Arabidopsis thaliana: one gene and its partner. The protein of the gene in region 1 interacts with the protein of each later gene in a pairwise test. Each region holds a gene or a part of one and is shown on either strand. Other genes may lie near its edges.

What was found. Proteins that work in one complex are often made in the same cells at the same time.
Region 2: the proteins of PUB49 (region 1) and CAT1 interact in a two-hybrid assay, tested with the Arabidopsis thaliana proteins (one large-scale study listed by BioGRID).

What each region holds. Positions count from the first base shown.
Region 1 is NC_003076.8:26,939,383-26,944,699, forward strand, and holds PUB49 (plant U-box 49), read left to right. Parts: upstream 1-1,691; 5' UTR 1,692-1,877; coding exon 1,878-2,005; intron 2,006-2,084; coding exon 2,085-2,147; intron 2,148-2,229; coding exon 2,230-2,333; intron 2,334-2,416; coding exon 2,417-2,508; intron 2,509-2,580; coding exon 2,581-2,670; intron 2,671-2,752; coding exon 2,753-2,828; intron 2,829-2,923; coding exon 2,924-3,282; intron 3,283-3,358; coding exon 3,359-3,615; intron 3,616-3,707; coding exon 3,708-3,996; intron 3,997-4,071; coding exon 4,072-4,182; intron 4,183-4,277; coding exon 4,278-4,496; 3' UTR 4,497-4,764; downstream 4,765-5,317. Other genes in the region: APK4 (adenosine-5'-phosphosulfate (APS) kinase 4), read left to right, coding at 1-188, 371-502, 590-858, 930-1,014, 1,150-1,196, 1,290-1,460; AT5G67540 (Arabinanase/levansucrase/invertase), read right to left, coding at 4,871-5,317. UniProt on the Arabidopsis thaliana protein: May catalyze the cis-trans isomerization of proline imidic peptide bonds in oligopeptides thereby assisting the folding of proteins. May also function as a chaperone, playing a role in intracellular transport of proteins.
Region 2 is NC_003070.9:7,145,061-7,150,732, forward strand, and holds CAT1 (catalase 1), read left to right. Parts: upstream 1-1,575; 5' UTR 1,576-1,751; coding exon 1,752-1,766; intron 1,767-2,352; coding exon 2,353-2,449; intron 2,450-2,722; coding exon 2,723-3,000; intron 3,001-3,178; coding exon 3,179-3,955; intron 3,956-4,045; coding exon 4,046-4,135; intron 4,136-4,225; coding exon 4,226-4,293; intron 4,294-4,395; coding exon 4,396-4,549; 3' UTR 4,550-5,120; downstream 5,121-5,672. Other genes in the region: CAT3 (catalase 3), read left to right, coding at 1-545, 631-720, 820-981, 1,074-1,133. UniProt on the Arabidopsis thaliana protein: Occurs in almost all aerobically respiring organisms and serves to protect cells from the toxic effects of hydrogen peroxide.

The DNA.
Region 1 (5,317 bases):
CGTTTCGCCGGCGTTCGGTGAGTCTGAATCGCACCGGTTATCGGAGCGGCGGTTTCTGAAATTGTCTAGCTCCACGAATTCGGATCCCGCCGGTAGTAAAAGTTTGAAGCTTCGCGGGAAAATTCATCGGAGAATGAGCTACTTCCGTCCGATCATGGCAAAAGATGAATCCATTTCATCGCGGTCCGGTAATAATCACGTAATTCCGTTCTGGTTCATCTCTAATCCTAGTTTGGGTTCCTATGATTCGTTTTTAACATTTGGGTTCCTGAGACCAGAAATTTCCATAGTTTTAGCATAAAGTTTGGACCTTAGTAGACAGATCAATGATGTATATCTGAATAGATCTAATCTCAGATAATCTAACCAGGTGAAACGAAGCAAATCAATGGAAAGCAAAAGAACATTGTCTGGCATGATTGTCCCGTTACTAAATCCGACAGGCAAGAATTAATTAAGCAAAAGGGATGTGTGATTTGGATTACTGGCTTAAGTGGTTCAGGTTTGGTCCTTTGTTTCTGAATTGATCTCTAACTACATCTTGTTATGTTTCTACTGGATTCTTTCAAATATTCTCGTATTTTTTCAGGTAAAAGTAGTCTGGCATGTGCTCTTAGTCGAGCTTTGCACAATCGTGGAAAGCTTTCGTATATACTTGATGGTGACAATGTTCGACATGGTTTAAACAGCGATCTTAGTTTCGAAGCAGATGATCGAGCTGAAAACATTCGAAGAGTTGGTGAAGTGGCTAAACTGTTTGCAGATTCTGGTATTATCTGTATTGCAAGTTTAATATCTCCTTACCGGATAGAACGAGCTGCCTGCCGTGCATTATTACCACAAGGAGATTTCATTGAGGTTTCTCCAAGTTCATGAATTTGAATCCCAGTCTCAACATCAATCTGACTTTCTCTTGGTTCTCTTGATAGGTATTTATGGATGTGCCACTCCATGTTTGTGAAGCTAGAGATCCAAAGGGCTTATACAAACGTGCACGCGCTGGTAAAATCAAAGGTAACTTTGCTTTTTCTCTGCATCTGTTTTCAACTTAACCCATGTTCTACTGATTTTCATTAATTATATAACCTTCTTGATCTATCCATTTGATTATATGTAAATATATTGTTCCCCAAAACATTTCTTCTCCAGGTTTTACAGGAGTAGATGATCCATATGAAGCGCCTTTGGATTGCGAGGTTCATATAATATCCAATTTTTGTTATATAAGTTGGAATCTAGCTCATCTCCGAACTTGAATCTAATGTTGTGTTTCCGACTACTCTTTGCAGATTGTAATACAAAACAGTAGAGACAAGGGGCTTTCTTCTTCATCTTCATCTTCATCTTCACCTTCATCTTCGTCTTCTTCTCTGTGTGAAATGGCAGATATTGTTGTGTCGTACTTGGACCAAAATGGATACCTGAAGAAACACTCCACAAAATCACGTAATTGTATGTAAATGTAATATTAATATCATTGTTGTAACGTTTCTTAAACCTATTTTACCTATGGACGATTAAATTGTGAAAACATAAATGTAATTCACAATCTGCAAAGAGTTGGTAAGAAAAACTTGTTTGATTGATTGAGAGAATGAGATTATTATATGGCCGCCAAGTTGGCGCCAACTCTCCGGCTTTTTAAGTAATCGAGCATTTGGGCCTAAAAATATACGGCCCAGTGTTAACAAAACAGGCCTTTTTAATATCCGGGTCGGACTCTATTAAGGCCGGATCTGGTTCTACGGCGGCGACTCCTCCTCCTGACTATAACAAAAACAAAACGCGGTGGGGAGGGCGGTAGTATCAGACAGATCGAAAATCGCAACGGTTAAGATTCCAGCTACTGAAATCTATCAACGTCGAAGAAGTGAACGATGGGGAAGAAACAACACAGCAAAGATCGGATGTTCATAACGAAGACGGAGTGGGCAACAGAATGGGGAGGCGCTAAATCCAAAGAGAATCGAACTCCTTTCAAGAGTCTTCCTTACTATTGCTGCGCGTATGTTTCTTCCACGATTCCACTACTTTCAAATTGGGTTTCAATCTCTCCTAATTTCAATCTGTTTGTTCTGATTCAGGCTTACGTTTTTGCCATTCGAAGATCCTGTGTGTACAATCGACGGGAGTGTTTTCGAGATAACGTGAGTAGTTTGTTTCATAGTGATTTAAGCTTTTACTTAAGGCATTAAGGGAGCTTAATTATTGACTTTTGGGAATTTGCAGAACAATAGTGCCTTACATTAGGAAATTTGGAAAACATCCTGTTACTGGAGCTCCATTGAAAGGAGAAGATCTAATTCCTCTCATCTTTCACAAGAACTCTGAAGGTTCTCTTCTTTCTTCTCTCTTTACCTATGTTATCTGATGCCTTGTGATTTCTCTCATCTTTGATATGTGGCTACCATTGTAGGAGAGTATCATTGTCCTGTTCTAAACAAAGTCTTCACTGAATTTACACATATTGTTGCTGTCAAGACTACTGGAAATGTATTCTGCTACGAGGTTTGTTTTTTTTTTTTTTTGCTTTGCTTATTTTTGGTTTCGATGATTCTTATTGTTGCTGTGTAAATTTAGGCAATCAAAGAGTTGAATATCAAAACCAAGAATTGGAAGGAGCTTTTAACTGAAGAACCATTTACAAGAGCCGACCTTATAACAATTCAGGTAACTAACCTCTTTCTCTCTGCTTGAAGCTTTTTTTGCAATGGGTTAGTGTCTTAAAGCATTTTTTGGTAACGTTTTGCAGAATCCTAATGCAGTTGATGGTAAAGTGACGGTGGAGTTTGATCATGTTAAAAACGGTCTTAAGATCGATGATGAAGGTTTGATTTCAGTTTTATATTCGACCAAGCAATTTATCATAATACGTGTTTTGTTTAGGTTGGTTACGACTCCAATATCTTGTGTTTTCTTGCAGAGTTGAAAAAGATGAACTCAGACCCTGCTTATAATATAAACGTGTCTGGAGATATCAAGCACATGCTTGCAGATCTTGGAACTGATAAAGCTAAAGAGATTGCTTTACATGGTGGAGGTGGAAACAAGGCACGTAATGAAAGAGCCGCTGCTATTGCTGCGATTCTGGAGTCAAGATCGAAAATCAAAGAGGTTTCTAAAGCAGAACAACCGAAACAGACCTACAGTGTTGTTGATGCTGCATCTGCTTCGGTTTTTGGAAGAAGTGCTGATGCAGCTAAAGCTGGTTCTAGTGATAAAACAGCTGCAAGAATAGCTATGCATATGGCTGGAGATAGAACACCTGTTAATTCTAAAATGGTTAGCTTCTTCTTCGGAATAAACTCGGTTAAAAGGTTTGTGTATTGTTGTTAAAGCGTTTGGTGTTTTGTTGCAGGTGAAGAGCCGTTATTCGTCGGGTGCTGCTTCTCGTTCTTTCACTTCCTCTGCCTTTACTCCTGTAACCAAAAACGATTTTGAACTAATTAAAGTCGAGAAAAACCCGAAAAAGAAAGGGTATGTTCAGTTTCAGACAACACATGGCGATTTGAACATTGAGCTCCATTGCGATATAGCTCCTAGAGCATGTGAGAATTTCATCACTCTCTGTGAACGTGGTTACTACAATGGAGTGGCCTTTCACAGAAGTATCAGGTATGCATACATATATGTCTTGGAAATCTGTTTTGTTTTAAGAGTTTTTATGGGGCAATTAAACATGATCTTTTGACCTTTCTTCTACAAAGGAACTTCATGATTCAAGGGGGCGATCCAACTGGCACAGGAAAAGGAGGTGAATCCATTTGGGGGAAGCCATTCAAAGACGAGCCAAACTCGAAGCTGCTTCACTCAGGAAGAGGCGTAGTTAGTATGGCTAATAGTGGACCTCACACAAATGGTTCTCAGTTTTTCGTCTTATACAAATCAGCGACCCATTTAAACTACAAGCACACAGTGTTTGGTGGAGTTGTTGGTGGTTTGGCAACACTAGCAGCAATGGAGAATGTACCTGTAGATGAAAGCGACCGTCCTCTTGTAAGTTCCAAAAACTCAACTCACTGTGTTCTTTAGTAGTTTCTGTCTCCTGAGAGTATTTTGTAATTTCTGCAGGAAGAGATTAAGATAATCGAGGCAAGTGTGTTTGTGAATCCATACACGGAGCTTGATGAAGAGGAAGAGAAAGAGAAAGCTGAGAAAGAGAAGAATGAAGACAAAGACATTGTTAGTATCATCCCTTCCACCAAATATGATCTCTCTTTGCTCTCTTACTTTGGATTGGTCTGATAAGATTATATATGAACTATGTAATGTATCAGGAGAAGATCGGGTCGTGGTACAGCAACCCGGGATCAGGAACAACAGAAGCTGGAGCGGGTGGCGGTGGTGTCGGAAAATACTTGAAAGCTATGAGTAGTACAGCCACTAAAGACACTAAAGGTTCCCTAGACTCAGATATTTCAACCATTGGAGTGTCTAAGAAAAGAAAAACTACTGCGTCAGCCTCCACAGGGTTTAAAGATTTCTCTAGCTGGTAATTGAAAACATTCTCTACCTACTTTGTAAAACCGTTGACTAGTTTTGATAGAGACCAAGTCACAAAAGCATTTGTATGACAACACTGAGCCTTTGATGTCCAAAATCTGGAGCTGTGTAATAAAGTTGACTAGTTTTGATGGAGCCCAAAAGTCACAAAAGCATTTGTATAACAGCCCAAGTCACAAACGCATTTGTATAACATTGAACCTTTGATGTCCAAGAGCTGAGGCTGTATCTTCAGTAAAAAGATTTATTAAGTATAATCCTTACAGTGGTGTGTATGAATGCCTAATCTACAAAACAAATCAACAAGACAACAACAATGATCAGCACTGACGGATCGGTAAGAACATATTTGGTTATTTGTATGTCTTTAAGGCAGCCGCCATTTACTGTGCCAGTAGATGGACACTCTGGACCACGATGGGAACCCGAAGTTGAACTCCAAAGGCTGGTCAGCAGGTCCACCTATAACTAACGGTAACCACACGTATCTGGAATCCCGCAAATCAGCCGGGTTCCACCTATCTGCCATGAATATAAACGCACCGGGAACACCAGGTAAAGGAATCACATAAGTGCTCTGCGCAAAGAATGTTGTTAACCGGAAAACTTTGTTACCACCGATACACGGGTTCCCCAATTTCTCCCATGGACCCATTATAGATTCAGCCGCATGAGCCAAGGCTTCATTTGGTGCCCAACCAGTGCACCAGGAAGTGACCATGTAATAAATATTCTGATGCTTGAAGATAGCTGGAGCTTCCCTGTGTTGTCCCACCATTACTCTCTTCATAACCGGTGTCACATCGAGGTAATC
Region 2 (5,672 bases), on another chromosome or scaffold:
ACACCTACACTCTTATTGCCAAATCTGGAAAAGTTCTCTTTGTGAAGTTCCACTGGAAACCAACTTGTGGGATCAAGAATCTGACTGATGAAGAGGCCAAGGTTGTTGGAGGAGCCAATCACAGCCACGCCACTAAGGATCTCCACGATGCCATTGCATCTGGCAACTACCCCGAGTGGAAACTTTTCATCCAGACCATGGATCCTGCAGATGAGGATAAGTTTGACTTTGACCCACTTGATGTGACCAAGATCTGGCCTGAGGATATTTTGCCTCTGCAACCGGTTGGTCGCTTGGTTCTGAACAGGACCATTGACAATTTCTTCAATGAAACTGAGCAGCTTGCGTTCAACCCGGGTCTTGTGGTTCCTGGAATCTACTACTCAGACGACAAGCTGCTCCAGTGTAGGATCTTTGCTTATGGTGACACTCAGAGACATCGCCTTGGACCGAATTATTTGCAGCTTCCAGTCAATGCTCCCAAATGTGCTCACCACAACAATCACCATGAAGGTTTTATGAACTTCATGCACAGAGATGAGGAGGTACGTCTTAGTACACCACTTGAGCTACCATTGTTAGTCTTTTTACTTGGAATCAAAATTCTCATTTGGTTTGTACTTTTTACAGATCAATTACTACCCCTCAAAGTTTGATCCTGTCCGCTGCGCTGAGAAAGTTCCCACCCCTACAAACTCCTACACTGGAATTCGAACAAAGGTCCGATTCCTGCCATGCCTTCTCTAAATCTTCAAATCCTAAACTCAAGTTTATTAGAATATTGGTGCTAAGAAAACCTTTTAATTGCTAATGTTGCAGTGCGTCATCAAGAAAGAGAACAACTTCAAACAGGCTGGAGACAGGTACAGATCATGGGCACCAGACAGGCAAGACAGGTTTGTTAAGAGATGGGTGGAGATTCTATCGGAGCCACGTCTCACCCACGAGATCCGCGGCATCTGGATCTCTTACTGGTCTCAGGTCAGAACAAAAAAACACTCGGTCAAATTTCTACGTCCTTTTTACCAAGTTTCAGCAAACTAAAACATTATTTATCTCTCTGTATCTCTCAGGCTGATCGATCCTTGGGACAGAAACTTGCAAGCCGTCTGAACGTGAGGCCAAGCATCTAGAGGCCAATCTCCATATAAGCTCAGTCTATGTGAGGTACAATCAATCTCATCGATCTATCATCGCTTGGTCGTTAAATCCGTCAAAAAGATAATCACATGTGTTGTTGTTTCTTGTCTATATAATAATAATGCTTGTAATCCCAAAAACTCATGTTTCCTTCCTTTCTACTCTCACTGTCTTTGTAATCTCTTTTTACAATAAATCAATGTTTCTTGAAGCAGTAAACAATTTCTAAGATTTATGGTGGTCGTTATACATATTATTAATTCAGGAAAAAAAAGAGAAGATACCGTAATTGAACATGTATTATTTTAAGGAGAATCCTGAAATGGATCAACAATTGTCTAATTATGGTATAGTATCTGGCGAAATCAAAGACGATATCATCCACACGTAATTAGTTTGACTATTAATACGAGGATTATCATTTGGATAAGGATTAACAAAGACAAAACACATACGTGTTTTGGTGTTGAGCTAAAATAAGATATTTTGGCTCTCGCTATAAAAAAAAAATCGACAACAGTGCAGACACACGCCGATTTGCGAGATACACACAGTCTCACCTAAAAATCGCAAAAGAAGAAAAATTCGGATCAAAATTGTCTTCAAGCATCATGGATCCATACAGGGTACATCGATTGATTCTCTTTTTTTGTAATCTGTGATTTTACCTTACTTGATTTCGTATCGATTTGGTGTGATTTCGTGTTGAATCCAAAGTGTATGAATGATCTCTCTCTCTCGGTTAAAATGATGCAAAATTGGGGTGATTGTTCGACTTGTTGAGGTTTTTTTGTGTGAATCGATTTCTTTATTATATAGTGGAGATTGGGTTTCGATTTGCATGCGTTGAAGATTCCACTGGAAAATTCAACATGTTTTTCCGTCTATTGATTGTTTATTTGTCAACATGCTCATGCTCATGCTCATGTTCTAATACACAAGTCTTAAGGCTGACGTGATCTGTCAATATCGTTGTACATGTTTTAAGGTTTCTTTACGATTTTTTTAAAGTTATTTTAATCACTGTGTTCAATTGTGAATATCATTGTTGCTTGTATCGTATTTTTTTAATTGATCATATATACTTATGTGGAATTGTTATGTATCAAGTATCAATGTATCATTATTTGTCATAGACGTTTCTCCAATCTATGGAAATTTGGTTAATTTTTTTGTGATCCAGTTCTTCTGAATTTATTTGTTGGTGTGCAGGTTCGTCCTTCAAGCGCTCATGATTCCCCTTTCTTCACTACAAACTCGGGTGCTCCTGTCTGGAACAACAACTCTTCTTTGACTGTCGGAACTCGAGGTCCGTTTCTCTTTCTTATCTCTTGAATACAAATTATAACAAATATGTTGAACCAGTGGTTGTTAGAAATGCCCTTAAAGCTAGAGTAGTGGAAGCCAAATAATTTTATAAACGTTTGGATAATAATGTCATTAGTGTTTTTGTTGTGGACTTGCGTAAATCACATTTCTTCCTTCAGTTTTATGCCAAATCTGATATAATTCCTCAATGTTGATTCTGTCTCAGTTGCTTGGATTTTTAGATATGTTAAGCGATGGTTTTATATATTGTCAGGTCCAATCCTTCTGGAGGACTATCATCTGCTTGAGAAACTCGCTAACTTTGACAGGGAGCGGATTCCTGAGAGGGTTGTTCATGCCAGGGGAGCCAGTGCTAAGGGTTTCTTTGAAGTCACTCATGACATTACCCAACTTACTTCTGCTGATTTTCTTCGAGGACCTGGTGTTCAGACTCCTGTTATCGTTCGTTTCTCAACTGTCATCCATGAGCGTGGCAGTCCCGAGACTCTCAGAGATCCCCGTGGTTTTGCTGTTAAGTTTTACACCAGAGAGGTTAGCTTTTTGTCTTATCCTTCCATTGTCTCTCTATTTTCTATAACCGATATCGATGTGTTTGCTGATATTCAAACGTTTATTTGCTTATCTATTTCGTTTCACCACCTATATGATTACTTGCAAATCATATCATACTATACTGATGATTCCTCTTACCCTCTGTTTGCAAACTCAGGGGAACTTTGATCTTGTTGGGAACAACTTCCCTGTATTCTTCGTCCGTGATGGAATGAAATTCCCTGACATGGTCCATGCATTGAAACCGAATCCCAAGTCTCACATTCAGGAGAACTGGAGGATACTGGACTTCTTCTCCCACCACCCAGAGAGTTTGCACATGTTTTCATTTCTCTTTGATGATCTCGGTATCCCACAGGACTACAGGCACATGGAAGGCGCTGGGGTCAACACTTACATGCTAATCAACAAAGCTGGAAAAGCTCACTATGTGAAATTCCACTGGAAGCCGACTTGTGGGATCAAATGCCTGTCGGATGAGGAAGCTATCAGAGTTGGAGGAGCCAATCACAGCCATGCCACCAAAGATCTCTATGACTCGATCGCAGCCGGGAACTATCCGCAGTGGAATCTCTTCGTTCAGGTGATGGATCCTGCCCATGAAGACAAATTTGACTTCGATCCGCTTGATGTCACAAAGATCTGGCCTGAAGATATCTTGCCTTTACAACCTGTTGGTCGCTTGGTCTTGAACAAAAACATCGACAACTTCTTTAATGAGAACGAACAGATTGCATTCTGTCCTGCTCTTGTGGTTCCAGGCATCCACTATTCAGATGATAAGCTACTCCAGACCCGGATCTTCTCCTACGCTGATAGTCAGAGACACCGTCTTGGACCAAACTATCTGCAACTACCTGTTAATGCCCCTAAATGTGCTCACCACAACAATCACCATGATGGTTTTATGAACTTCATGCACAGGGATGAGGAGGTAATCTTATCTCTCGGCTCTAGAAACTCCCAGATACTTAAATTCGCAATCACATTTATATGAAGTGAATTTGTTGCTTTCCAATTCCAGGTCAATTACTTCCCTTCAAGGTTGGATCCAGTTCGCCATGCCGAAAAATACCCTACAACTCCTATTGTCTGCTCTGGAAATCGTGAGAAGGTCAGAGTCCTCTACATACATTAATTTTTGATCACAAGTTTTATCCTCATAAGTCATAGTTAAAACTCAAATGTCATCTTTATATCACAGTGCTTCATCGGGAAGGAGAACAACTTCAAGCAACCAGGGGAGAGATACCGGTCCTGGGATTCAGACAGGTAAACACTAAAAACTCAAAAACCACATTGCAAAATCAACAATTACACATGAACCACAAATGTCATAATTCATTCTAATGGTCTTTTGTTTTGTACCAATAGGCAAGAACGATTCGTGAAGCGTTTTGTTGAAGCGCTTTCGGAGCCTCGTGTCACGCACGAAATCCGCAGCATTTGGATCTCTTACTGGTCTCAGGCAGACAAATCTCTGGGACAGAAACTAGCAACTCGTCTTAACGTGAGGCCAAACTTCTGAATGATATCATCTCTAAAGACTAAGTGAAATCCTATAAACTCAATATGCTCCTCTTACGGTTTGGTTTCTAAGTAATCTCGTTTATTGACAATGAAACGCTTAAAGAAGGGTACTAGTTCCTGTTTGTAATCTTCTTTTCAAAATATTAACGATTATTTTCTAAGGCAAATAAATAAAAAGCTATGACTAATATAGCTTAGTAAACAAGTATCACTATCATCCATTTGGTTCTACTTTAAAAATGGATTTTTATTTGTATTTTAATCTTCTGCATCTATGACGTGAGCTTATAGTTGGAATTTTATTGGGGTCTAATGTCAGACGCACGATCTTGATAAAAAAGTTTTATGTCTGTCCATATTTTGATAAATTGGCATAGTCATCACTCATCACGTCAGACCTTTTAATTGGTCAATCGTTATGATGCTACATCGCATTCATAATTTATAATTTACATGTAAGTGGGGGTGGAGTATTTGATTATTCCGCTGCTAGTGGAAATGCAAAAAGAATAATGAGAGCAGACCAATTTTAATTATGCTTATACTTTGTTGCGCTTAACTTTTAATCAGCTAATACAGTCTGATTAATCTGATGTCTCTCAGCCAGTAGTTTCTTTTCTTAAAGAGAACCTCAGCGCAAATCAGAAATTAGACACATGGAGCCACATCAAACTTAATCACCAATAATATCCTTTTCTCATGTATTTTTCAGTCTCATATTTTTTTTTACAACTTGTTAAGTGGTAGTGTGCGAAGATTTTAGATCGAAGTTACGCATCTTAAGAGATTATTTATCCAATGAAATGGTATAGTGAACTGTGTTTGCTAATGGTCCAGGATTTTATACATTTAAAATTCATAACTTTGCAGTTTAACGAAAAACAATAACAAATTTAACGTGTTTTGGTTGTCGTTAACAAGATCTCGGATCCATTTAGGAAAAGTCAATATCTTGATGACGAAATCAAGAAGACTTTACTTTGATTGCATGTGACGGAACTTAAGCACTATACTAAACGATAAAATGTAATTATGTAAATATCTAAGTTTTGAGGTGTATAATGCAAGAGTATAATTTCGTGGACCTACGTCTAGGTCTACCAACAAATGTACTCAACATA